Oryctolagus cuniculus: one gene and its partners. The protein of the gene in region 1 interacts with the protein of each later gene in a pairwise test. Links are inferred from orthologs where the notes say so. Each region holds a gene or a part of one and is shown on either strand. Other genes may lie near its edges.

Region 1 (6,182 bases):
TGCGGGCGGGCGGCTAGGCCTCGGAGGAGGACCGTGGGGCTCCCCGGAGCAGCAGGGCACGGTAGGTGGGGGAGCTGAGGAAGCGGGGGTAGGAGTCCCGGTGCATCAGCGTGTAGATCTGCAGCTGCGCGTCGTCGAACGTGTGTGCGGACGGCTCCTGCATCTTCCTGTTGATGCCTTCCCGCACCCGGGAATCCAGGCTGACCTGCCAGACAGGGCAGCACGGTCAGGGGCCCAGGCGGTGCCTCCCGACCCCTGCCCAGCACCGGCCGCCCCCGCCCCACCTCCTTCGGGGACAGGATGGACACGTAGTCCTCGTAGATGAGCCGCGCCTTCTCGTCCACCACGTGCTGGTTGGCCTCGGCCTTGAGCTCCTCGCAGGCCAGCCAGAAGAGCATGTTCTCCTCGCTGTACTCCGTGCGCAGGAAGGCCCGGAACACGCTGCGGCCCGCAGGGCTGTGCATCAGCTTGTCAAAGGACTGCGCCCAGCTCTCCACCTCCTCGGGGCTCGGCGTGGCACTGCAGGCACGGGGCCAGCCACTTCAGCCCAGGGCCTCTGGCCTGAGCCCCCCCCGCCCCCCCCGCAGGCCACTGGACTCACCACGTCTCGCAGCTGGGCAGGGGCTGCAGCTTGCTCTCCCGGGAGGCCTGCCACGCTCGCCGCCGCTGCTGGTTCCTGAGCAGACACAGGGGCTGCACTGCCCTGGGCACGTGGGGCCCCCACGCCGCCCACCAGCCCGGGGCTCACAGGAGAACAGCCTCCTGTAGGCTCCTTCCCATGCAGGCCGGAGCGCCCAGGCCGCAGCCTTGGTCCTCGTCCTCCTCAGCAGTGTGACCGTGTGCCTCTTCCTGGGCTCCCTCCCCTCACTGGGGGTATGACCTGGCTGATGCAGGGGTCCCTGCACCCCTCCCACCACCCACCATGTCCTGCTTGGACTGTCAGGCCCTGGCTGCTCGTGGGTCAGCTGACTACACGTGAGGTCCCCATGTCCTGTCCCTTCAGTAACCGAGGCCCTGACACCTCTGCAAAGACTACAATGTCCAGCAGCTGCCCTGCACTCTGGTCACCCCTGGAGCCCCACTGCGGCCTCATGCACACACTGACCCTGCTGCCTGGGCAGGTCTTCCCCGTGCCCAGGGCCAGCTGCTCCCTCCTTGGGGTCTCTCTGTTCCACCCACTCTAGGGCTGTGCCCGTCTCGCTCCACTGAAGGTCCCCAGGATGACCAGGCACCCAGGGAGGGGTGAAGGCGCACGCAGCAGGCCTGGCCCTGCACAGGGACCAGCCCTGGCGCTGCGGCAAGTCTGGGACCAGGCCCTGAATACGGACGCCAGGGCCACGTCAGGTGGCCAGACCTCTGCACCTCCCTTCCCGCCCGGGCCCAGCCTGGTCCCAGGCGCGCGTACCAGGAGCAGCTGCAGCAGCAGCACCAGCACAGGCAGCAGGGGTTGCGGCTGGGGGCCGCCGTGGGGGCCGCATCACGGCTGGACATCGAAGGCGGCCGGTCTGCCTCCTCTGGCCCTGCGTGCTGGGGACACAGGGCTTCCTCAGCCTCAAGGTGGAACCCCCCAAACCTGGACTTGTGCCTTCTGCCCACCCCAGGTATTCAGGGATACCTTGACCCCTCATTACCCCCTCCCCAGGGGGCCGGGACAGACAGGGAGCAGCATACCTGCTTGTCAGCCTCATGCGCGGTGGGCATGGGTGGGTAAAGCAGGCGGCCCAGGCTCCGAGATGCCAGCTCCAAGGCCCTCACCACAGCCGGGGGGTCTGGGAAGAGGGGCCAAGGTTCTGACCGAGAACCTGTGACCCCAGACCCTAGCTGTCCTGCGGGAGTGGCCTGCAGCACACCTCCTTCCCTGCTCTGCCCTCTGCCCCAGCCTCCGGCCCCTCCTCCCAGGCTGGCCCCCAGAGGAGGCCCCCAGAGGAGGTTCTGGGACACCCCCGTCGGCTCAGCGCCTGGGAGCCGGAAGCCTGGGTTCCTCTTTCTTGGTTTCCGGCTCTGGGCCCCTCCCGAGGGGACTGTGCGTCGTTGGAGGTGGTGACATGAGCTGCTCCTTCCCTCTCTGTGGCAAGGCCCGAAGCCTGAGGCAGGACAGGAAGCTGGAGGAGGGATCTGGGCCCCGGGTCGGGCGTCTCTGGCCCGCAGCTGCCCTGACCCTCACACCCCACTGGCACACTGAGGTCCCCACCCTCTGGGCCCAGCACCTGCAGGCTCAGAAGCCACTGCCGGCCGCCAGCCTCAGGGCCAGCCAGGGAGACCACCCCGCCCCCAGTCGGCCTGGAGACCCTGTGGGGGTGTGCCTTTCCACTTCTGGGATGCACCTCTGTGGGGAGGGGCACTAGGTGCCAAAGCCAGCCACAAACCCGGCGCATCCCCTCACTGCGCAGCTGTGTCCAGGTGAGGGCCCTCAGGCCTCTCCCGAGGGTCTGTGGCCAGGAGGCTTGGGACTTGGTTCTATTTTATTTTCTAATTTTCTCACTCCCAAGCCTGGCCTCTGCATCCTCAACCCCACTGGCCTTGGCTCTCAGCACCCAGGAAAGGACAAGGCCCACGGGCCACCGACTCCAGTCCCTGGGCCAAGGCCTCTCGACACCTGCTGGGCTTCCTCTCCCAGGAGGGTCCCAAAGCCAAGTGTGTTGGGGGGAACCAAGTGCCCTGTGGGAGTCACGTTTCCAAAGAAGGGGCACGGCAGCCAGGGCCCTTGCCCCAGGCAGGAACCCCAGCCTGGGGCTGTCGGGGGTGCTGGGCCCTCCTCCAGCCCTGCCCCTCTCTCAGGCAGTAGGGTCTGGACCCACGCTCCCTCCTCCCCACCCCCGGGGCCTGGAAGGGGAGAGCAGGAGCCACTCCGGCCCCTGGGGACAGGGCTCCCTCGGGAGCGGCGGCAGCTCTGCTCCACACAAGGAAGAAGAACGGCCCTGAGCCCGCCCAGTCCAAAAAAAGAACAAGAAAATGTGACAATCTCAGAAAAATGTCACAATCTTTGGGAGGGGGCTGGCAGGGACTCCTTCCAACTTTTGCTCCCGCCCAGGACCTCTCCGACCCGCTGCCCTAGCCAGGGGCTGGGGGGCGGCGCCCCGGTCTGGCCAGGCTCCCCCAACCCTGGAATCCCTCCCTCCCCTGTCCCCGCCCCGGGGCCAGGCAGGAGGCGTGCGGACCCCTCCCCGCAGACTCCGCAGCCCCCACCCCCATCTCAAGAAGCCCGTCCTGGGCCCCACTCACCAGCAACCCAAAGGCGGGGTGGGGGCGGGAGGGGCCGGTTCGCCCTGGCCCCTCCCTGGCTGTCGAAGGGGCGTGCACGGCACGGCAGCAGCCGCAGCGCCCAGGCCGGGCAGCGGGAGGTCCTCCCGCGGCGTCCCGAGCCCCGGCCCGCGAGGGCCTCCGGTCCGCCTCGCAGCGCGGAGCGGCTGCCGGCCGACCCGACGGGGTGGGGGCGGGGGCGCACAGGGAGTCCCGCCCCGGCCGCTCCCCGCCAAGCTAGCGGGGCGGGAGCCGCGGAAACCTGGGTCCTTCCGGCCCCCGCCTTTAAGCAACCTCTCCCCGGGCTCCGAGCTCACAAAAAGGGAACCCGCCGCAGCGCCCCTCCCCCAGGCGCGGGGCGGGCTGCAGTGCCGCCGCGGCCCGGGGTCCACGTGGACCCGCGACCGCGGCCCCCGAGGGGCAGGTCCCGGCGCAGGCCGTGGCGGCCACGCCGCGCACCGCCGGGCCGGCCGCGAGGCCAGGGCCGCCGTCCCCGGCGCCGCGCGCGCACTCACCGGCCGCGCTCCCGAGCCGCCAGCGCCGCCGCCGCCCGCGCGCTCCGAGGTCCGGCCCCGGCGTCGGGGAGGGGGCGCGGGCGCAGTGCGCAGGCGCGCGACGGACTTCCCCAAAGCGCGGGCCGGGACTTCCTCGCGCCGTCCGCCCCGCCCCGCGCTCGCCCGGCCCGGCGCCCCCCGCGCTTGGCCGCGGTGGCCCCGGGAGATGGCGCTGTGGTGTGCGGGGCCATGGCTTCGCAGCCCCTGTGGGCCACTGGCTGCGGTCCCGCATGCGGCCCGGACTGCTCGCATGGGTGGGGGTCCGGAGCTCGTCCCTGGGCCGTGGCGCTGCTGGGCAGCAGGGGCGCCGGTTCTCGCACCCCGAGGCGCGCCGAAGGGCCCATGGGGCCTGGCTGAGTCCCCGTTGACCCCTGCGGTGGCCCCGAGTGTCCCCTTAGCCCAGTCCCTTTGACTGGCACAGGTGCTTTGGCTGATTGTCAGCATGAGCCGCATCCGCCCTGGCCGTGGTCTGCAGGTCTGCTGCCCACTGGGCCGCTCCGGCTGCCCCTGTCTCCCTCAGCACTGCCTGCTCTGCTCCGGAGGCCAGCGTCCTCTCCCGGGGCACAGGTGGGGACACCTGGGCTGTGTTCAGGGGCCCTGGCGGCTCTGTGGGGCTGGCTGGGCAGGCAGAGGCCAGGAGGCCCTGTTTGGACAGGGGTGGCTGCCTCTTCTGTAGCCCACGTAGTTGTCCTGAGAGGGACAGGGGAGGACAGGGAGGCCCTGGCCACAGCCACACTGTCCTGCAGCACTTGGGGTGTATCTCCATGGCAGGGAAATGCAGGTGTGTGGCCCGGTGGGGGGCTGGCACACTCCCTCCCTCTTGTCCTCTGCTCCCCTCCCCCCGCACCTGCATCCATCTCCCCAGGCCACTGCTGGTCAGCACAGACCTTCCCCTGGCCTCATGGGAGGGGCTGGGGATGGTGGAATTGGGCCTGAACCCCCACCCCGCACAGGGCCACAGCACTGTGCAGGTGGGAGCCCCCTCCAGAGGCTTCCTTGGTCACCTTCTCTGGCCCCCTCCCTAGTGGGGACTTAAGGGTGCTCGTGTGCCCACCTGGCCCCTCCGGGCAGCCGCCTCGGCCACTGTCTTGCCAGCCTTCCCCCGGGGTTGGGCTCCGTGCCTGCCTGCGCCCATGACCTCTCCCCAGAGCACTGTGGGGTGGCGTGGGGCTCTGCACTGAGACCCTCACTTTAAACAGGAAGCAATGGAAGCTCCGAGAAGTGATGGGATAACAAGTGATTTTATTAAATAGACGAACGTGTCCCAGGCACTCCGTAACCTGAAGGAATTCTGGTCCAGACTGCAGGGAGCTTGGCCAAGGAGCCAGGACCTTCTGGAGCCACCGACTGCCAGGGGCTGAGCAGCTGCCCCCCCCCCCCCGCCCTCTCCCCTCCTCTGGGAGCTCCGCACACTGTCCAGGCTCGAATGAAGGCCGAGGGCAGCAAGCAGCCGGGAAGGGATGAAGGGTCCGGTGCAGGGCACAGAGGGCCCAGGTCCCCACACGGGCAGGGGAGGGGCCCTGGCCACCGCCGGGCAGGATTCCTTGCTGCGTCCCAGCTCCCAGTTGGCCTCTACTTCCAGATCCGTGCTCTGCTCCAGGCAGAGCAAGTGGGAGCCCTTGGCAGGGAGAAGGGTCTGGGGGCTCCTGCAGCTGTCCCCGCCTGCCCCTCCGCGGGAAGGAGGGGCGGGGCCGAGAGCCGGCTCTGGGGAGGAAGGCAGGGCTGCTTAGAGACCCGGCTCCTTGCCCAGCCGTGCTGTTCGCCGAGTGGGGTGTGGGGAGGACGTCCAGGGGACTCCCCTTCCCTGGTGTCTGCCCCCTGCCCACAATACCTGGGGCTGCCTGCTGCGAAGATGGCCCTCGGCCCTGGGCTCTGGGAAGCTAGAACGCCTGTGGGGCCCGCGCGCCCTGCGGCTCGGACCCGCGGCTGCATCTCCTTCCTGTGCTGCGTGCGCCCTTCGCCGTGTACCCTAGGGCCCGTGGGAGGCGGCGTCCACGCCGCCCCCTTCCCCCCGGGGGTCCCGGGAGCACAGCCGACAGACCAGGGCGCCTTGGGGAAGAACTTTATGTGCAGAGGCGCGCAAGGAGGGCTCACCGCGGGAAGACGACGCCGTCGGCCTTGTCCTCCAGGATAGATTCCACGCGCCTCCGCTACGGGGACAGGGGCTGCGGTCGCGTGCGTGGGCGGGCGGGGCCCCTCTCCGCCCCCTCCCGGGCTTGCCCATACCTCTTGCCGGTTCAGCGGGTCGGGGATCCGCGTCGGCTTCAGCTGCGGCGGCAGGAACGCCTCGAGCCGCACGGCGGCGCGCGCACACCTCTGGCGCCGGAGGAGCAGCGAGATCTCCTCGGTCTGCCGGCCGCAGGGGCGCTGAGTGGGGTCTCCAGGAAG
Region 2 (5,866 bases), on another chromosome or scaffold:
GCTCTGTGCTGGCCAGGCCCAGCAGCTCCGAGGGCAGGCCCAGTCCGCACCAGCAGGACCAGCCAGCTCAGGCTGTAGGGGAGCTACTGGAGGGTGAGAGACAGAGAGACAGCAGCTCCGAAGCAGTCGGCAAGCAGCCTGAATCGGAAGGAAAAACGCAGTCGCTCTCCCACACGGACAGCTGGGGTCCTCCCTATTGTGCGCCGTGCACTGGGCCAGGCTGAGGCTGGGCGGCACTTAGCTCTGCAGGGGACAGGGTTGACTCGGAAGGACCCATGGAGCGTGTGGTGGGCTAGGAGGAAGAACCTGAAGAGCTTTGCTCTCAGTGTCCCCTGGGCCCTTGCCACCTGCCCACACCACAGCATGCCGCACTGTGGCCCAGCGATTCCCATCTTACTCTTCCTCCAGTCTGTCCTCACACCAAGAGGACACTTTCTTCATGCAACAAACAGGTGAGAAGCACCCAACAGGTGCCAGGTGCACACTGGGCACAGGAATGAAGGGGACACAGCCCTACCCCCGCAGCCACGAGGGAGGCAACCAGGAGCCAGGGAGATGCCTGACCTGCCCTGGCGGGGAAAGGCTGCTGCGAGAGGCCCCGAGTAAGCTGCGGAGCTCACCAGACGCAAAGTCCCGGGCGCAGAAAGGGAACTGCTGCTCATTACTTCCACGTCTCCACACATTTGGCCACACACACGATCCCATCTTACAGCTGAGCCTCCCCCAGCAACTCTGACTTCCTTCCCCTTAAGCGCCAGTCCTCAAGCCCCAGATTCCATATGGGCCTTGCTGGTCAGTTGAGCTGAACTGGGTAGGGGTGGGGGGCGTCCCTGAAGCAGGAGTGGTAGCGGCTCCTCTGCGTCAAGCTGCCAGGAAAAACCCTCGTGCCAGTGTGTACTACATCTGCCCCTGCCCTGGTGACAGCGACTGTGCCCGCCTCCTGGCAGGGCTACCAGGGACGAGAGGGAGCCAGCGTGCGGGTGGGGCAGCAGGCGTGGTTCTGGCAGACAGAGAAGGCTGGCAGTTACCCAGCCTGAGGCCCGTTGCCTGGACAGAGTCTCCCGCTACGTGAGACAGGCGCCCAGAACTCAGAACCGGCCACAGCCGGGCTCCCACCGCCACCTTCTATCTGGAGGGGAAGGGACGGCTCAAGCCAGGACCCTTCCCCAGCAGCCACAGCAGACAGGGTCCTGCGGTCCAGGCAGAGCTTGGTTTCCCAGCCTCGTGCAGTTCACACTCTGCAGGGTCTCAGTCCCTAGCCCGCACAGCTACCAAACTCCCGCTCTCTCTGTCCTGCCTGAGGCAGCACTTGTTTGGCCCAAACCCAGGAAGCCCATTTTACAGAGGCAGCAAAGGCCAGAGAGGCCTAACACCGGGATGGACGCCTCAGGCCAGAAAGTGCTGAGCCAGACACTGCACTCTGGCTGCTATGGGCCCAGCGGGGGAGGGGCTGCCAGGTCCCACCTGGTCTGGCCCAAAAGCTTCGCTGGGCTCCCAGGGGCATGCCTGGTGGGACTGGGGGACACTTCGGAGTCGGGGCAAAGAACAGGCCAAGCATCCTGTGTCCCCTGACCCTGCGGCCCACTCCCCTGTCCCCTCAGCCACCAGAAGGGCCGTGATCAGCCTAGGGAGGGCTGGCCAGAGGCTCCTGGCTGGGCGCAGGGAGGCAGCGGGTACCGGAAGTGCCCTCCCAGGCCCGGCAGCGACGGGCATTCCGCCGCGTCGACACCCACTCACCGCCGCTGCACTCGCAGCAGACAGGAAGAGGCAAGCGCCCAACGCAAGGCAGCCCAGGAGGCTGGGCCGCCGCCCCTTCCCTCCCCTTCTCTTCCTCCCCGCGGAACGGATGCCATTTTGAAACCTCCGGGGCTGTGCCCCTGAGGCCGGGCCCGCAGGGACAGTCAACAGATGGGCCCATAATAGAGCTACATGCTTTTCCTGGGCCACAGGCCCAGCGTGAAAAGCCCCGCTTTTCACAGCCTGGAGGCTCCCGGGCCGCTCCGAGGCAGAGGGACCACACCCCCACACACGTACTATCCAGCCTGTACCGCTGTTCGGAGGGCCTGCCCCCACCCGAAACCCCCCCAAACCAGGCTTCCACTGGGCACCACCCCTGCTCCCAGCAGGAGGCTGGCCAGGGACCACCAGCAGACCCAAAATCTTTGCAAAAGGCCAGCTCAGATGCCTGGGGGCACCCTGACCCATCACAGCTGGCCCCCCAACCCCTCGCTCAGCTCCACCACCCCCCTCACACAGCCCCAAGATCCGACAGGCCCACCCCCTCGCGGAGCCCACAGCCCAGGCCCCATCAGCGGATCTCCCTGGCGCCTGCAGGGGCAGCAACATGTCGGCTGTCTCACCACTTCCACTTCCCCCACCACCCCAGCAGCCACCATCTTCCCTGGCCTTGGAAGCAGCCACAACCCCGGCCTCCTCCACATGCCCTCCCACTTCACATACTTCCCTCTCGGCAGCCCAGCCAGGCCTTGGAGACGGGAAAACAAATTCCCAAGGAGCGGAGTCTCCCTGGAAAGTTGAGCCTGGCCCCCTCCCCCAGCGGGACCAGTGGAGCCTCAGCCCAGCCCCTTTGGAGGATTTGCCTAAACGTCCCCTCCCCCCGGGGCGGGGGGTCTTCTCAGAGCCAGGCCCACCTGGTGCAGGAGGAGTGGAGGATCAGGGGGCAGCACTTAGGGGAGGAAGGGCACAGGTGTGGCGAGGGAGGCCTGCAGAGATGGGTCTCTAGAGGTTCTGGCTGGAGAGACAGGGCTCCGGAGCAGCCAGCTCCCACCCTGACGGTCGGGGTGCACAGGTGCAGGGCACAGGTTCAGAGGGTGGGTGGGACACAGAATGGGGCAGGGAGCTGGTGGGGCCCTGGGGATGCTCCTGCCCAACAGGAATCCGGGGAACAGGTAGGGGAAACAGGTGAAGCCCAAGGGTGGAGGCAGAGTGGGGTGCCGGGGTCTGGGTAGCAGCTAACGGAGGATGGAAAGGCTATGTGAGGCTGGTCAGTCGGAAGAGACAATCAAGCAGGGGTCTGGGCAGCGATGTTGGGGCACTGCTGGCTTGGTTAGGGGTTGCTGAGTCTGGGGTGAGCTACCCAGGTCTCTGGGTAGGACCACAGGTCTAGATCAACCCAGAATCGCCCACCCTTATTTGCAGGTCTCGGCCAGGCTGCTAAGGGTTCAAGCCCAGATGGGATCCAGACTGGTGAGCCTGAAGCCTCTGTCTTGTCTCTGTCTTGTCTGGGAAGTCAAGGGTCCCAGCGCGGGGCGCGGCCTCACCCAACAACAGCAACTTCACCTCCCGCGCCGCCTTCTCGCCATCCTCCCGCAAGTTCTTGTCGATCATCTTTGAGCGCTCGGCCGCCGCCTTGTCCTCGGCGCTCACCGTGCAGCCCATCCCGCCGTCCGCCGGCCCGGCCGCCGCCCGGCCCCCACACGGCCCACGGCCCGGCTCGGCCCCGCCCGACCCACTCCGCTCCCGCCGCCGGCCCTCCGCGGGTTAGCTCTCGGGTCGGCAGTTCCGAGCGTCTGCGGGAGGCGCCTTCCCCGTGGCCGCGCACCGACGGCGGGGCGGGCCAGGGGTGGGGCCCCGGTGAGCGGAGCCCGGGACTGGGCCGGGGCGGGCCTGGGGGGCGGCACCGTAAGAGACTCGGGGCTGGCGATTGGCTCGAGGGAGGAGCGAGAGGCAAAGTGAGGCGCAGCCCCGGCTGCGGCCGGCTGGAGGCGGGGCCACGCGGAGGGACCGCGATAGCGGTGGAGCCCAACGGGGAGACCGGGCACTGGGCGGGCTGCAGGCGGGGCCGGGCTCCCATTGGGTACCGGGCGCCCGGAGTCGGCGGCGGGCGGGTAGAGTACCCTGAGGGTGGGGAGCCGGTGCCCCGAGGGCCGAGCACGAGCCCGCCCTCTACAAGTAGGGCGAGAGGGGAGGAGGCGTGTCTTCCTCACTTGTTAGTTAATGTACCCAATAAACTCGTTTAGGGATCTGCAGAACCCGAGAGCCTTTCTGGACTGCGGTTTTGGTGTTTTTTTTTTTTTTTTTTTTTTCTTTTCAATCTTAAGCGGGTTTCCTCCCTTTCTTTCTCTGGGTAGTAACAAAATCAAAAACAAAAATAAGTCGATTGCCACCTCCACACCTTGACCTGAGCTGTCTTTCTGAGACATCAGAGTTCACGCACACTTCCCTGATCTGCTGGGAGACGGTGTCCTGCAGCAGCCACCCAAGACTGCAGCCTGGGCCGAGCAACCGGGCCACGAAGGAAAGAGGGAGGGAGGGAGGGAGGGAGAGAGAGAGAGAAAGAGAGAGAAAAAGAGAGAGAGAGATGAGAGAGACGTTACCACCGGGCTTCTGGAAACAAAAGTGACTGTGGTCTTGTATCTTATGACCTGTTCCTTCCACGGTCAGTACCACCTCCCATGTCCCCTCTGGCTGGGCAAAGCTGGGGCGCCGGCAGCACTGTTTTCAGCTGAATCTTTCAAGTCTTTCCAATCCTGCTTTCTGGGGGAACCCACAGCCCCAACCTCAGGTGAACGTGGGAAGTGTTGCAGCGTCCTGAGTGGTCCTAGTGCTGTGAGCCTGGGAGAGCCCGGCCCAGAGGCAGGGAAGATCTCTGATGCCAGGCAGGGTGCCTGTGTGGCCACCCACACCCACACCCCCGTCCCCTCCTCTCTAGCGGGCTCCCAGTTCTGAGTCTGTCCGCTCTCCCGGGAGTTGTCTGTGTGTCTCCCTCTGAATGTCTCCCTTGTTGTCAAGTCCCTGGCCTGTAAGTCTCCCAGTGTTCCCCCGCCGCTCCCTCCTGCCTGGAGCTCAAGCTGGCCCGGCGCAGGCAACAAACATGATAAAGACACATGATGCCCTCCAGGGGCAAACACAGAAATATGCCCTCTACATCAGCACCTAGACCCAGCCCCCAGCATGCCTCAAATTCACAGAGCACATTATAAAAATGACTGTACACAACCAAGAACACAAGTCTATCCACACAGACTACAAACGGCTCTAAGGCAGGCCCCTCCCCCGCCAGCCCCGCCCCTCGAGCGATCCTGGCAGCTCAGGCCTCCTAGGCTGCTCCTAGCAACAGCCAACAGCTCTCTCGGTTGCCAGGCAACAGGGAGAACCTGTCAGCCCCTCGGAGGCCCAGCTCTGGGGAGGTGGGCAGGACGCAGACCCCAATTTATGGAGGTGGGTTAGGACGGGGCCCCTGGGAGGCACAGCCCTCTCCAGCCACAGCCCAAGGTTCTGTGGCTCTCAGGCAGCGCCATTCCCAGAGTCAGGCACTTTTTTTCAGTCCTGTGCTCTTCCCATAAGTCCAGTGACCCCTACTTCCATGCCGCAGGCTGCTCCTTCATGTGGGTCCCCAAGGTTGTGGCCAAGCTTCTGCGAGCCACTCCAGGGGCTCAGAGCGCTAAATGCCTGATGACTCTGACTGCCAGCCCCACGGCCACCACTGTTCTGATCTCCCGGGGAACTCAAACCCACACCGTCCAGAACAGGGCACATCCCACTCCTACTGGGCCCTGCTCTGGCCTTGCTGCCACTTCACCATCCCCTGCCAGAGCAGTACCCCCACCCCCCCTCCTCCAACCCCACCCCGCACATCTGTGCCTGTTGTGTTTCCCCCATTCTAGGCCTCCCCTGTTTCCTCTAATCCGTCCTCCACAGGGCAGCCAAGGGGCTCTGCCAAAAGTTACCACATCACTCCCTCGTTCAGGAACCCTTGGTGGCTCCCCAGTGCCGGGAGTAGAAGGCGCACAGGTTCTGGTGTGGGCTCTGTAGGAGGGGAGGGCTCCAGAGTGTCTGGGAAGCAGCCTGCAACCTTGTATCCGACACTCCCTGTTCCTCAGTTGTGGGACAGGTAAAATGCCTC
Region 3 (5,396 bases), on another chromosome or scaffold:
ACAGGACCGGGAGTAAGAGGCTGCCCACAGGGGCACAGGAGAGCGCATGAGGGGAGGAAACGTGGACTGCCTGCACAGACAATGCAGCGGGGAGCTGGTTCAGGAAAACCGAAGCTCACCAAGCCAGGGAACTCACTTGCGTGGCCCCTGGTGGGATCTGCCCAGAGTGGCAGAGCCAGCCCCGTTCACTGAGGCTTGAGGCACACTTGAGCACAAGTGAGAGCCTGGCCACGCCAGGCATTGTCCCTTTTCCCTCTGAGTCCTGGGTCCTCACCTGTAAAGGACAGGGCTGCAGCCATGGTGACTGGGGGGCTGTAGGATGCACACAGCGCCCCCTGTAAGTGTGCAGTGTGACTGCACTGCCGGGCCTGCCTCCTTTCTACCCCAACCCATACACATCTGTTTTTACCTGTTTTATGTACTGGGTCCGAGATGAGGCTAAACTGCTAAAATAGTTACCACAATGCAGCCCTGGACCAGACCGCATTTAAGATACATTTGACAGGGCTGGCACCGTGGTGCAGTGGGCTGGGCTGCCAGCATCCCACATGGGAGTGGCAGTTTGGGTCCCTGCTACTCCACTTCTGATCCAGATCCCTGCTGACGCACCTGGGAAAACAGCGGACGATGGCCCAAGTGCTTAGGCCCCTGCCACTCACATGGAGTTCCAGGCTCCTGGCTTCAGCTCAGCCCAGCCCTGGCTGTTGTGGCCAACTGGGGCATGAAGCGGTGGGTGGAAGGTACTGCTCCCTCTCTGGCATTCTTTTTCACTCTCTCATTGAACATTTCAAATAAATCAATAAATCTTAAAAAAAAAAAAAAAAAGATACTCCTGACTCTGACTGTCGGGTACCCCTGTCTTCCCTGCCATGGACCTCTCTCCTGGAGGTGGAACATGGATGACCAAACCGTGGAAGGCAGGAGAGAACTGTGAAACCTTGGCAGGGCAGCACTTGGCAGGATGCTGAGCCGAGAGGGAAGGCGGGTGAATTTCCTCAGCTTAGTGGGGACAGAGTTGACAAATACCAACTCAAGAGCCTTACTGAAAGTTATAATGGTGACCAGCAGGACTAAAAATAATCCTGCAACCAGGAGTCACTGTGCACTTACTCCTCATGTAGGATCTCTGTCCTTAATGTGCTGTACACTGAGGCTTAATGCTATAACGAGTACTCAAACAGTATATTTCACTTTGTGTTTCTATGGGGGTGCAAACGATTGAAATCTTTACTTAATGTACACTAAACTGATCTTCTGTAAAAAAAAAAATTATCAATTCCCAACTTGACTCTCACTGGGATTAAACATGACAATAGGTCTGATCTGATTTCATCATCATTTAAAAAAAATCATCTATTATTTTTCACTTTATGTTTCTGTGTGGGAGCAAGCTGTTGAAATCCTTACTTAAGGTATACTAAGCTGATCTTCTATATATTAAGATAATCGAAAATGAATCTTGATGTGAATGGAAGGGGAGAGGGAGTAAGAAAGGGGAGGGTTGTGGGTGGGAGGGACGGTATGGGGGGGGAAGCCATTGTAACCCATGAGTCGTACTTTGGAAATTTATATTCATTAAATAAAAGTTAAAAAAAAAATAATCCTGCAACCAGCAAAGAACTGGAGGTAGTAGTGGAGAGGGGTGGGAGGGAGGGGAGCTGACCCCCCGGCTTCACGGTGGGAGTCTGGAAACACTGCACAGCTGGAGGCCCACTCTGTCTGGACACCACTGGGACGCGGCAGTGGAAACCGCTCTGCGGTGGAGGGACGAGACCTAGAGGGGCAGGAGACCACTTTTCATTTTATACACCTCGCTATTGTTTAAAAAATTTTTTTTTGCAATGGATTCATTTGATGATTAATGAAATAGGTCAAAATGTAAGTGGAGAACACCATTTGATGAATCACCGGGAGACAAACTCAGGCCAGCTGCCCCTGGGAGACCTGGAGGCTCCCGCTGGCAGCTGGGGAGGAGGTCTGGGACTTGGGCCTGGCAGTAGGAGGGAAGGAGCTGCCAGCCCTGCTGTCCTCCGGGGGTCCCCTTCAGAGAGCCAGCCAGAGATCATCCTCTCAGCCTGGCTTGGGCTTGTGAAGGAAGCGTGCAGGGGCCCGTGGGCAGGAAGGCTCTGGGCTCTCTCCTGCTCCCAGGGCGTCCCTGGGGCTCCTCAGTACCTGGGACCCTGGGTGGCCACCAGCTGAGGCTCCCAGGACCCACTTAGGCCTCTGCCTTGTGGACAACCAGGTGTGCAGAATAGGAAGCTCTTGGCCTGCTTCAAGTCCAGGTTTGTTGGCTGCCATCGTGGCCACTGGAAGCAGGCACGTGTCCATCAGCAAGTCTGTCTCGCTGGCCCTGGGCTCTGCCACGCTGGCACTGTGCGGATCAGGGTCTCCTGATCCCCATGCGGCTGGTGTTTTGGCCTGGATAATGCTTTGCTGTGAGGTTTGTCCTGGGTACTGTACGGTGCTGAGTAGCATCCCTGGCCTTTAGCCACTGCCTGCCGGGGGCACTAGCCTAGTCGTGGCATTTAAAAGTGTCCCCTGCCATTGCTGAGTGTCCCCTGGACTGAGAGAGACACGGGTGGGGCTGGGGAGACTGTGTCTGTCCTCGGAGCGGGTTAGGCCGGGGCCCCTGGGGACCACACTGTCCAAGCGGGATGTGTTTCTGGAAAGCCCAGGTATAGGCCCTGATCTTCAGAGCAGAAGATGCCCCCGGCCCACGCCCACCTTCCCAGGGCTTCACAGCCTCGGCCTGGGAGCCAAGGGCAGGTGTCCAGTGAGGGCACCATTGAAGATGCTAAGGGACAAACGGTCAGGGGCACACAGGTGACCCCACGGTCCCCTGTGGAGGCCTGCAGCACATTCTCTGCTGGCCCCCTTTCTGACCACCCTGGCTTTTCCCACTTCTCTACTCTTCATCATTTTACATTTTAAACATAGAGAAATGGAAAGTTTACCATTATCTCTAAAATACAGAATGGCAGCATTTAAAGAATTTTCTGCCCACATGGCTCTCTTGCCCTGTGCTTCTGGAGTCAGGGGCTCTTGAGGAAAGAAAACCAACCAACCAAACCAAAGCTGCGGCACCGAGAACCTTCCTCCAGGGCTGCCAGGCACTCTCAGGTCTACGTGTCCCTGTCCCCGCTTTCCCTGGCCTCTTCCTTGTCCTGGGGGCAGAAGAGAGGCCCCTCTCACGCCTCCTGCCACCAGCACCAGTGGAAGAATCCCTCACAGCAGGTTCTGCCTCAGCTCTGACCTCAGCCCCATGCACCCCTCCCCGCCTGGGCAGCCCCTGGCCCGGGACACTCACTGTGCTGTGACCTCGGCCCCTCGCACCCCTCCCTGCCTGGGCAGCCCCTGGCCTGGGACACTCACTATGCTGTGACCTCGGCCCCACGCATCTCTCCCCGCCTGGGCAGCCGCTGGCCCGGGACACTCACTATGCTCTGACCTCGGCCCGTTGCACCCCTCCCTGCCTGGGCAGCCCCTGGCCCAGGACACTCACTATGCTGTGACCTCGGCCCCACGCACCCCTCCCCGCCTGGGCAGCCCCTGGCCCCTCGCACCCCACCCTGCCCTGGCAGTCCCTGACCGGGACACTCACTATTTGGCAGAGTCATTGAGCTGATACTCCCGAGACCGGTTGAAGCACTCCTGGATCCCTGAGTCACCCCAGAGTCGCATCATGGCGGACAGCAGTTCTGCAGAGAAGGGCTCGGTGTCTTCCATCCGGCTCACCACGTCACACACCATCTTGGCGTCGGCCTGGGAGGGGACACGGAGATGGTTTGGAGGCCTTGGCGGTGACAGGAAACCCCTGGCCAGCCAAGGGCCCCACCTGGCTGGGACGGGGCGGGGGCTGGGTTTATGACAAGGCCCCCACCAGCACAGCAGCAGGCTACCCAGGAGAGGCAGGAGCTCTGGTCTCCGAGGGCCTTGTGGAGCCTCCTCCGTGTGGAAGCCCTGGCGCAGGGGGCCCAGACCACTGCCCTTGGAGTCCGAGGGTGTGCGTGAGCGGAAAGGGAGGCCGGCGGGCTTGTGTCTCCACCCTCTCAACCACCATCGCTCAGCTCTCGCCTACTCTCGTAACTGGGTCTCTGCACGCTACTTTTGCTTGGGGGAAAAATTAAAAATCAATATCCTTGGCTAGAGTTACAATTTCCTACACTTCTTACCCAAGGTGGCGCAAAAGCCCCAGAACTGGGCTACACTGGGGGAAAGAGGAGGTTTCTGGTTATTTGAGAGCTAAAGTTAACTGAGGGTCACAGTAGCCCGGGACCTCAGGGTGGGCGGGGCAGAGGGCTCAGCGGTCAAGCCAGCACACCTGGTGAAAAGCCCTCAGGTCACCTTCAAACCTCAAGGGGCTGGTGTCTGGTGCAGCTTCAATGCAGCAGGTTAAGCTGAGACAGTTGCATTTCTCATGGGAGTGCCGGGGGTTGGGGTCCTGCCTGTGCTTCCCCGCCAGCCTCCTGCTAATGTGCACCCTGGGAGGGGGGAGACGATGATTGAAGTATTTGGACCCCTACCGCTTATGTGGGAGACCCAGACTGAGTTCCTGGTTCCTGACTCCACCCTAGCTCAGCTCTGGCTGTTGTGGGCATTTAAGGAGTGAGTCAGTGGATGGAAGATCTTTCTCCTTCTCTGTGCCTCTGTTACTCTGCCTTTTAAAATAATAACAATAGAGCTCTACAAGGTACCAGGATGCACTTTGCACCAAAGCCATACCACATGTGTGTGTGAGTGTGTATGTGTGTGTGTGTGTATGTGTGTACATAATAAAACGACTGGATGAATTCCTACTGACTCCTCTGTGACCTGTGGCCCACCCTCTGGGAGGGGCTGTAGCAGAACTGCTTTAGGTACACTGTGCAGGCAAGGACAGCACTGGGCCTGCAGGAAAGGCTCTGCATAATCCACGGGCTTCTTCTCCCTTCCCCTCATGTTTTCAGCGGCTGTAAGTAAACCTGCTGGAGACTCACAAGGCTCTGGGGGAAGTCACACAGCTGCCATCTCTGGCACTTGCACACACACACGGCACTTCACGGTTCAAAAAGGGCTTCTGGGCACAAACATTCTGCTTCCTTTTTTAAATTTGAAAGAGTTAAAGGGAGAGGGGGAGGGAGGGAGGGAGAGACAGAGAGAGATATCGTCCATCTACTGGTTCACTCCCCAGATGGCCACAACAGCCAGGACCTTCTTCCGGGTCTCCCACGTGGGTGGCAAGGAGCCCAAGCTCTTGGGCCATCTTCCACTGCTTTTCCCAGGCCATTAGCAGGGAGCTGGGTGGGAAGTGGAGCAGCCCACATGGGACGCCGGCCTCACAGGCGGTAGCCTTCCTGGCTGTGCCACAGCGCCAGCCCCACATTCCGCTTCCTCACTAGGGAGCTGGCAGCTGCAGC
Region 4 (4,292 bases), on another chromosome or scaffold:
CTGGGAGCCATCCATGGTCAACAGCAGCGGGGACACCTTTACAGCCACCCAGAGTCTTTGGTCTTCTGAGGCCAGCATGGGACAGCACAGGGCTGCACACACCGTCATCCATGCTCACACAAAAGACAACCAAGCGGCGAGGCTGAGGCCACACCCTGAATCCAAGACCAGCCCTTCCCTGGCATTCAGGGGGATGCTTCATCCCCCCAAGCCCTGGGTAGCCTGGCCAAATATGTCCAGATACCACGATGCTCCTGGAATCACCCAGAAGCTCCTGAGATCCAGACCAAGGCACTTTGCCCCCCGGCTCCAGGAAACAGAAAGGCCGAGAGGCTGGAGACAGACGAAGGTATCCATTTGCTGTCCCAACCCTGGAGTCCACGGCAGGCTCCCTGGAACAGGCCAGAGGGAGGGGCACACAGTGAAGCAGCTTCATCCTGCTCAGTACAGACTGGACACCTGGCGAGCGCACACTGGCCCTGCTCTCGCTGCAGCAACCTGGGCCTCAGCCCAATGCCTGTGTGTGTGTGTGTGTGTGTGTGTGTGTACACGCGCATGTGTGTGTGTGTCTGGGGGCAGGCATGTTACAAAGACAAGGGGCAAACAGCACTTTAGAGGGTGGGTGGAAGCACCCCCAAGGAGCGAGGGGGCAGATCCAGGGCAGGAGGGGACAGCAGCTTCCCAAGGGGGAGGAACCACGTCCCATTCAGCTTCTGTCTCACAAAGGCAACGTCTGTCAGGAACACACGGGATGAGTTTAGACCAAATGCCAGTGTCTCACGGTCCCCGTAGAAGGAGGCTCACTGCTCCATCCAGGCATGGCCAGGCCCTGTGCACCCCCACCCCCTAGACGGACTCTCCCTGGCCGCCATGGCTGCTGCTTTCAGACAGCCACAGCCCAAAGGCACAGTCACCAGCTAAGCATCACCCCTTCTAAAGCAGGCAGCTCCATCCCCGTGAAGAACAGAGCTGGGCGGTTGGTCACCCAGAGCCCCGGCCCTGCCCAAGACATAAAGTGCCTGGGAGGAGGAGTCCCGGGCTGCAAGGGGGCTCTCTCCTATCTTTAAAGCTCTTTCCCGAGCCTACCCCAGTTCACAGGGTCACAGAACTGCACCCCTTTCATAGGCAAGGAACCTGCCGTCTGCAGCCACACTGCAAATAAGTACTGGGGCTGCTCCACTTCCCTAGCACCCACAGGACGGCCCCTCCCGGGCTGTGCAGCCCCCACCCGCCTTCCCTGCCACACCCCTCCTCCTCCTTCCTGATTACACACCAGGCGCCCACTAAACCCAACTGCCAGGCACCCTCTGTGCCCCCATCCCCCTGGCCCACAGAGCCCACCCCAGCTGTGCTCATGTCCTTCAAGCTCCAGTTCAAATGTCACATTGCCCACAGGCCGGTCTGACCCAAGCCCCGGGCACCTCTCTGAGGCCTGGGCACCGGCAATCAGGGCTGGGTTATCAGAGCACAGACGTCTGTCTCTCCCCTGTGGGAGTCAGTCCCTGGGGAGGGAGGGCAGGCCGACTGCACTCCCACCCCGTCCACCCCAGCGCCAGGCCCTGGGGGAGCCTGCGCTCAGTAAATATTTGCTTAATTGAATTTCGCCAAGGAGCTTCTTCCAGACAGGGCCAGGGTAGAGAGATGAGATCCCCTAGGGCAGGGCAGAAGGAAGCAGGTCAGGGGCCGTCTCCCCAGTGTAGACAGACCCACCAGGCAGGTCTCCCCACCCAGAGATGCGGGCTCCAGGGAACCCTGGTCTCGCCTGGCACCGCCTTCTCATCCTTTCTCTCCGTGTAACAGGGAGCCCCAATCCTCGGCCTAGGCGGATTTCCGCCACCATCACCCAGAAAGGCTCAGCACCGCACTAAAGGCAGAGGCCCCCTCCCTCCCCACCCAGATCGCCGCAGGATACCGAGGCCCGGGCAGGAGGCCTCAACAACCCTCCCCCAAACACCTCACCGCCTTTTAAGGTAAAAAAAATAATAATAATATTGAGCCAGGAACGTATTCTAATCGCAGCAGGTCGATACTCACGTCTCGCTTGCATGGCTCAGAGGAACCTGCTTGCTCCCAGAGCAATGACCGAGAACGGCGAGTCGTCAGTCCCGGGCCCAGGCCTCCCTTTCCCTGGCTCTTCTGCTAGGTTTCAGCCAAGGCCACGCGTCGGCGCCTCGACCACCCGGGGTCGCCTCCTTCCCCTCCCTCCTCCGCCGCCCAGCATCCCCCGAGGGAGACCCCGCCTCGGCACCGCTCCCGCAAGCCGCCCGGCCCAGGCTCCGCACCACTGGTTGCTCAGGAGAGACCGGTGCCCCCGGCCCATCCACCCCCGGCCCGCAGCCGCTCTCCTCGGCCCAGCGCACCTCGCTCCCCCAGCACCTGCCGGCGTCGCAGCCGCCCCCTGCCTCACACACCAGGCACCCCCGCTCCCGCCACCCCCAACCCCGGCCGGGCATCTTCGACGCTGCGCCCGGGCGGATCCCGAGCACAAAGGCCCAGGTGGGGGTGGGGTGGACGCCCGGGCCGCGCCCCCGACACCCCAGATTCAGCCTCGAGCCCCGGGCTGCGGATCCGCTCACTCACCTCAGGGCCGCGGCACCGTGCATCTGCCGACCTGCTCCCGGGCGGGGCGGGGCGGCGCGGCAATCGCTGGGCAGAGGCTCCCTCGTTCCGCACGACGCGGGGCGGCGGCACCCGCGCGGGGACGTGACCGGACCGCGGGCGGCGCACACGCTCCGGCCGGCCTAGCTCCCTCCGCCCGCCCTCCCGCGCCGCCCGCCACCCGCCCGCGGGTCCGCCCGCCCCGCGCCGCGCCGCGCCGCCGCCGGCAGGGGGCGGAGCCGCGAGCGCAGCTCGTTGCCAGGCCAACCGCGGGCGGGGGGTGCCGCGCGCCCGCTGGGCACCACGCGCCGGGCGCCACAGCCCCACCACGGGCGCCGGCTGGCTGTCCATTGGGCGCGGGCGGCTGACGGACGCTCAAGCAGCCCAATGGCGACGGGCAGGGGCGGGGCTATGGCTTGGCGCGCGCCGCAGTCCCGCACGCGCTGCCCGCTCTGGCGACTCCCCGACTGCGTGGCGCTGTGGCCGGGGCTACACACCACCCTCGGCGGTGGCCCCGGTCCCCTCCACTGTGGACGACCCCGGGCTCCTTCTCCCGGCCAGGGTTCGAAACCAGCCTAGCCCCTTCTGAGCTCCGCGACCTTGGGCACCCGACTGACCTCTCTCTCAGCCTTGCTGTTTTGCAGAGTGAGGCTGGCGACACCTGCTTCCCTGGTTTGTCGCTGCAGTCCGCTGGGTCGTGTGAAGGGCCTATGGAAATCCCAAAGGCGTGCAGCGGTGAGGTCTGTGCAGCAATGGGAGAGGACATTCGTCATCTCTGCGGTGATTGCTCCCAGCGCGTGTCTTGGGGACACCTGGCCATCCTGGCCCGAGGCAAGGTTGCATTGCGAGGTATGGGAGGCGGAAGGGTCTAGGAGCTGGGCCCCCCAACCCGAGGAAAAGAAAGGAGTCAGCTCCTGTAACACCAGCACACCCCCTCCCCCATCCCCCGTAGGTGTGTTTGGGACCCTCAAATGCACCTGACAGGCTGTGAAATTCTCCTTTCGGTTTCAGGAGGAGCCTATCTGTGGGCCCCAGGGCCAGGACCCCTCCACTTCCGTGCTTAAAAGGGTCAGGCCAGAGTGCCCCAGCTAGGAATGCTGCTGTCTTTCCATCATGGTAACCTGAAGCTTTATGCATCCCCGCAGCCTCCCTGTGAAACGCACACTCCTGGTCAGCTCTTTCCTTATCGCTTTATGTGGTCAGATCACCCCATCGCCCCTCTCATTGTGCTCTGCAACTGATCATGGGCAGGGGTCAAGGCGGGCTGTGGCCCCAGCCCAGGTGTGTGGTCTGAAAAGCAGGGGCACAGGTCTCTGGCTGTGCCAGCCGGCTGCTGTGGCATGGAGACACCATTTGCCCCCCCGCCCCCGGGCAGGTGCTCTTGCACAGTCAGGAATGGGATAGATATTGGTTCTGGGCACCACTGAGTGGGACTTAGAGCTGGCGCAGGGCCCACTGGAGGTGGCCAAAGGAATTTGCCCGGCATTGGAGGGGCTTCCTCCTTCTGAGGGGCAGCTGTGCAGGAAGTAATCATCTGCACATGTTCAGAGGTGGGCACTGGAAGTTCCCACAGCTGGATATGGGGTCCGAGCTGGGCTGTTTGCAGGGGGCAAACCCAGATGCCACAGTGGGAGGACCACTCTGGCAGGGGGTCTCCCGCGGCCTTCCTCACCTGAGAGTAAGAGGGGACTGTT

What was found.
Region 2: the proteins of RGS19 (region 1) and GNAI2 interact in a two-hybrid assay, tested with the Homo sapiens proteins (2 studies listed by BioGRID and IntAct). The link is inferred for Oryctolagus cuniculus from reciprocal best matches to the Homo sapiens genes RGS19 and GNAI2.
Region 3: the proteins of RGS19 (region 1) and GNAO1 interact in a two-hybrid assay, tested with the Homo sapiens proteins (2 studies listed by BioGRID). The link is inferred for Oryctolagus cuniculus from reciprocal best matches to the Homo sapiens genes RGS19 and GNAO1.
Region 4: the proteins of RGS19 (region 1) and GNAZ interact in a two-hybrid assay, tested with the Homo sapiens proteins (2 studies listed by BioGRID). The link is inferred for Oryctolagus cuniculus from reciprocal best matches to the Homo sapiens genes RGS19 and GNAZ.

Annotation. Positions count from the first base shown.
Region 1 is NC_091442.1:133,554-139,735, reverse strand, and holds the start of RGS19 (regulator of G-protein signaling 19), read right to left. Parts: upstream 3,898-6,182; 5' UTR 3,756-3,897; intron 3,737-3,755; exon of another isoform or gene 3,223-3,736; intron 1,770-3,222; 5' UTR 1,702-1,769; coding exon 1,672-1,701; intron 1,528-1,671; coding exon 1,406-1,527; intron 677-1,405; coding exon 602-676; intron 520-601; coding exon 285-519; intron 206-284; coding exon 14-205; 3' UTR 1-13. Other genes in the region: protein LKAAEAR1, read right to left, coding at 4,694-5,498, 5,889-5,944, 6,021-6,143. UniProt on the Homo sapiens protein: Inhibits signal transduction by increasing the GTPase activity of G protein alpha subunits thereby driving them into their inactive GDP-bound form. Binds to G-alpha subfamily 1 members, with the order G(i)a3 > G(i)a1 > G(o)a >> G(z)a/G(i)a2.
Region 2 is NC_091441.1:99,082,312-99,088,177, forward strand, and holds the start of GNAI2 (guanine nucleotide-binding protein G(i) subunit alpha-2), read right to left. Parts: upstream 3,616-5,866; 5' UTR 3,400-3,615; coding exon 3,282-3,399; intron 1-3,281. UniProt on the Homo sapiens protein: Guanine nucleotide-binding proteins (G proteins) are involved as modulators or transducers in various transmembrane signaling systems.
Region 3 is NC_091449.1:40,107,274-40,112,669, reverse strand, and holds part of GNAO1 (guanine nucleotide-binding protein G(o) subunit alpha), read right to left. Parts: intron 3,763-5,396; coding exon 3,602-3,762; intron 1-3,601. UniProt on the Homo sapiens protein: Guanine nucleotide-binding proteins (G proteins) function as transducers downstream of G protein-coupled receptors (GPCRs) in numerous signaling cascades.
Region 4 is NC_091452.1:31,634,064-31,638,355, forward strand, and holds the start of GNAZ (guanine nucleotide-binding protein G(z) subunit alpha), read right to left. Parts: upstream 2,801-4,292; 5' UTR 2,581-2,800; intron 1-2,580. UniProt on the Homo sapiens protein: Guanine nucleotide-binding proteins (G proteins) are involved as modulators or transducers in various transmembrane signaling systems.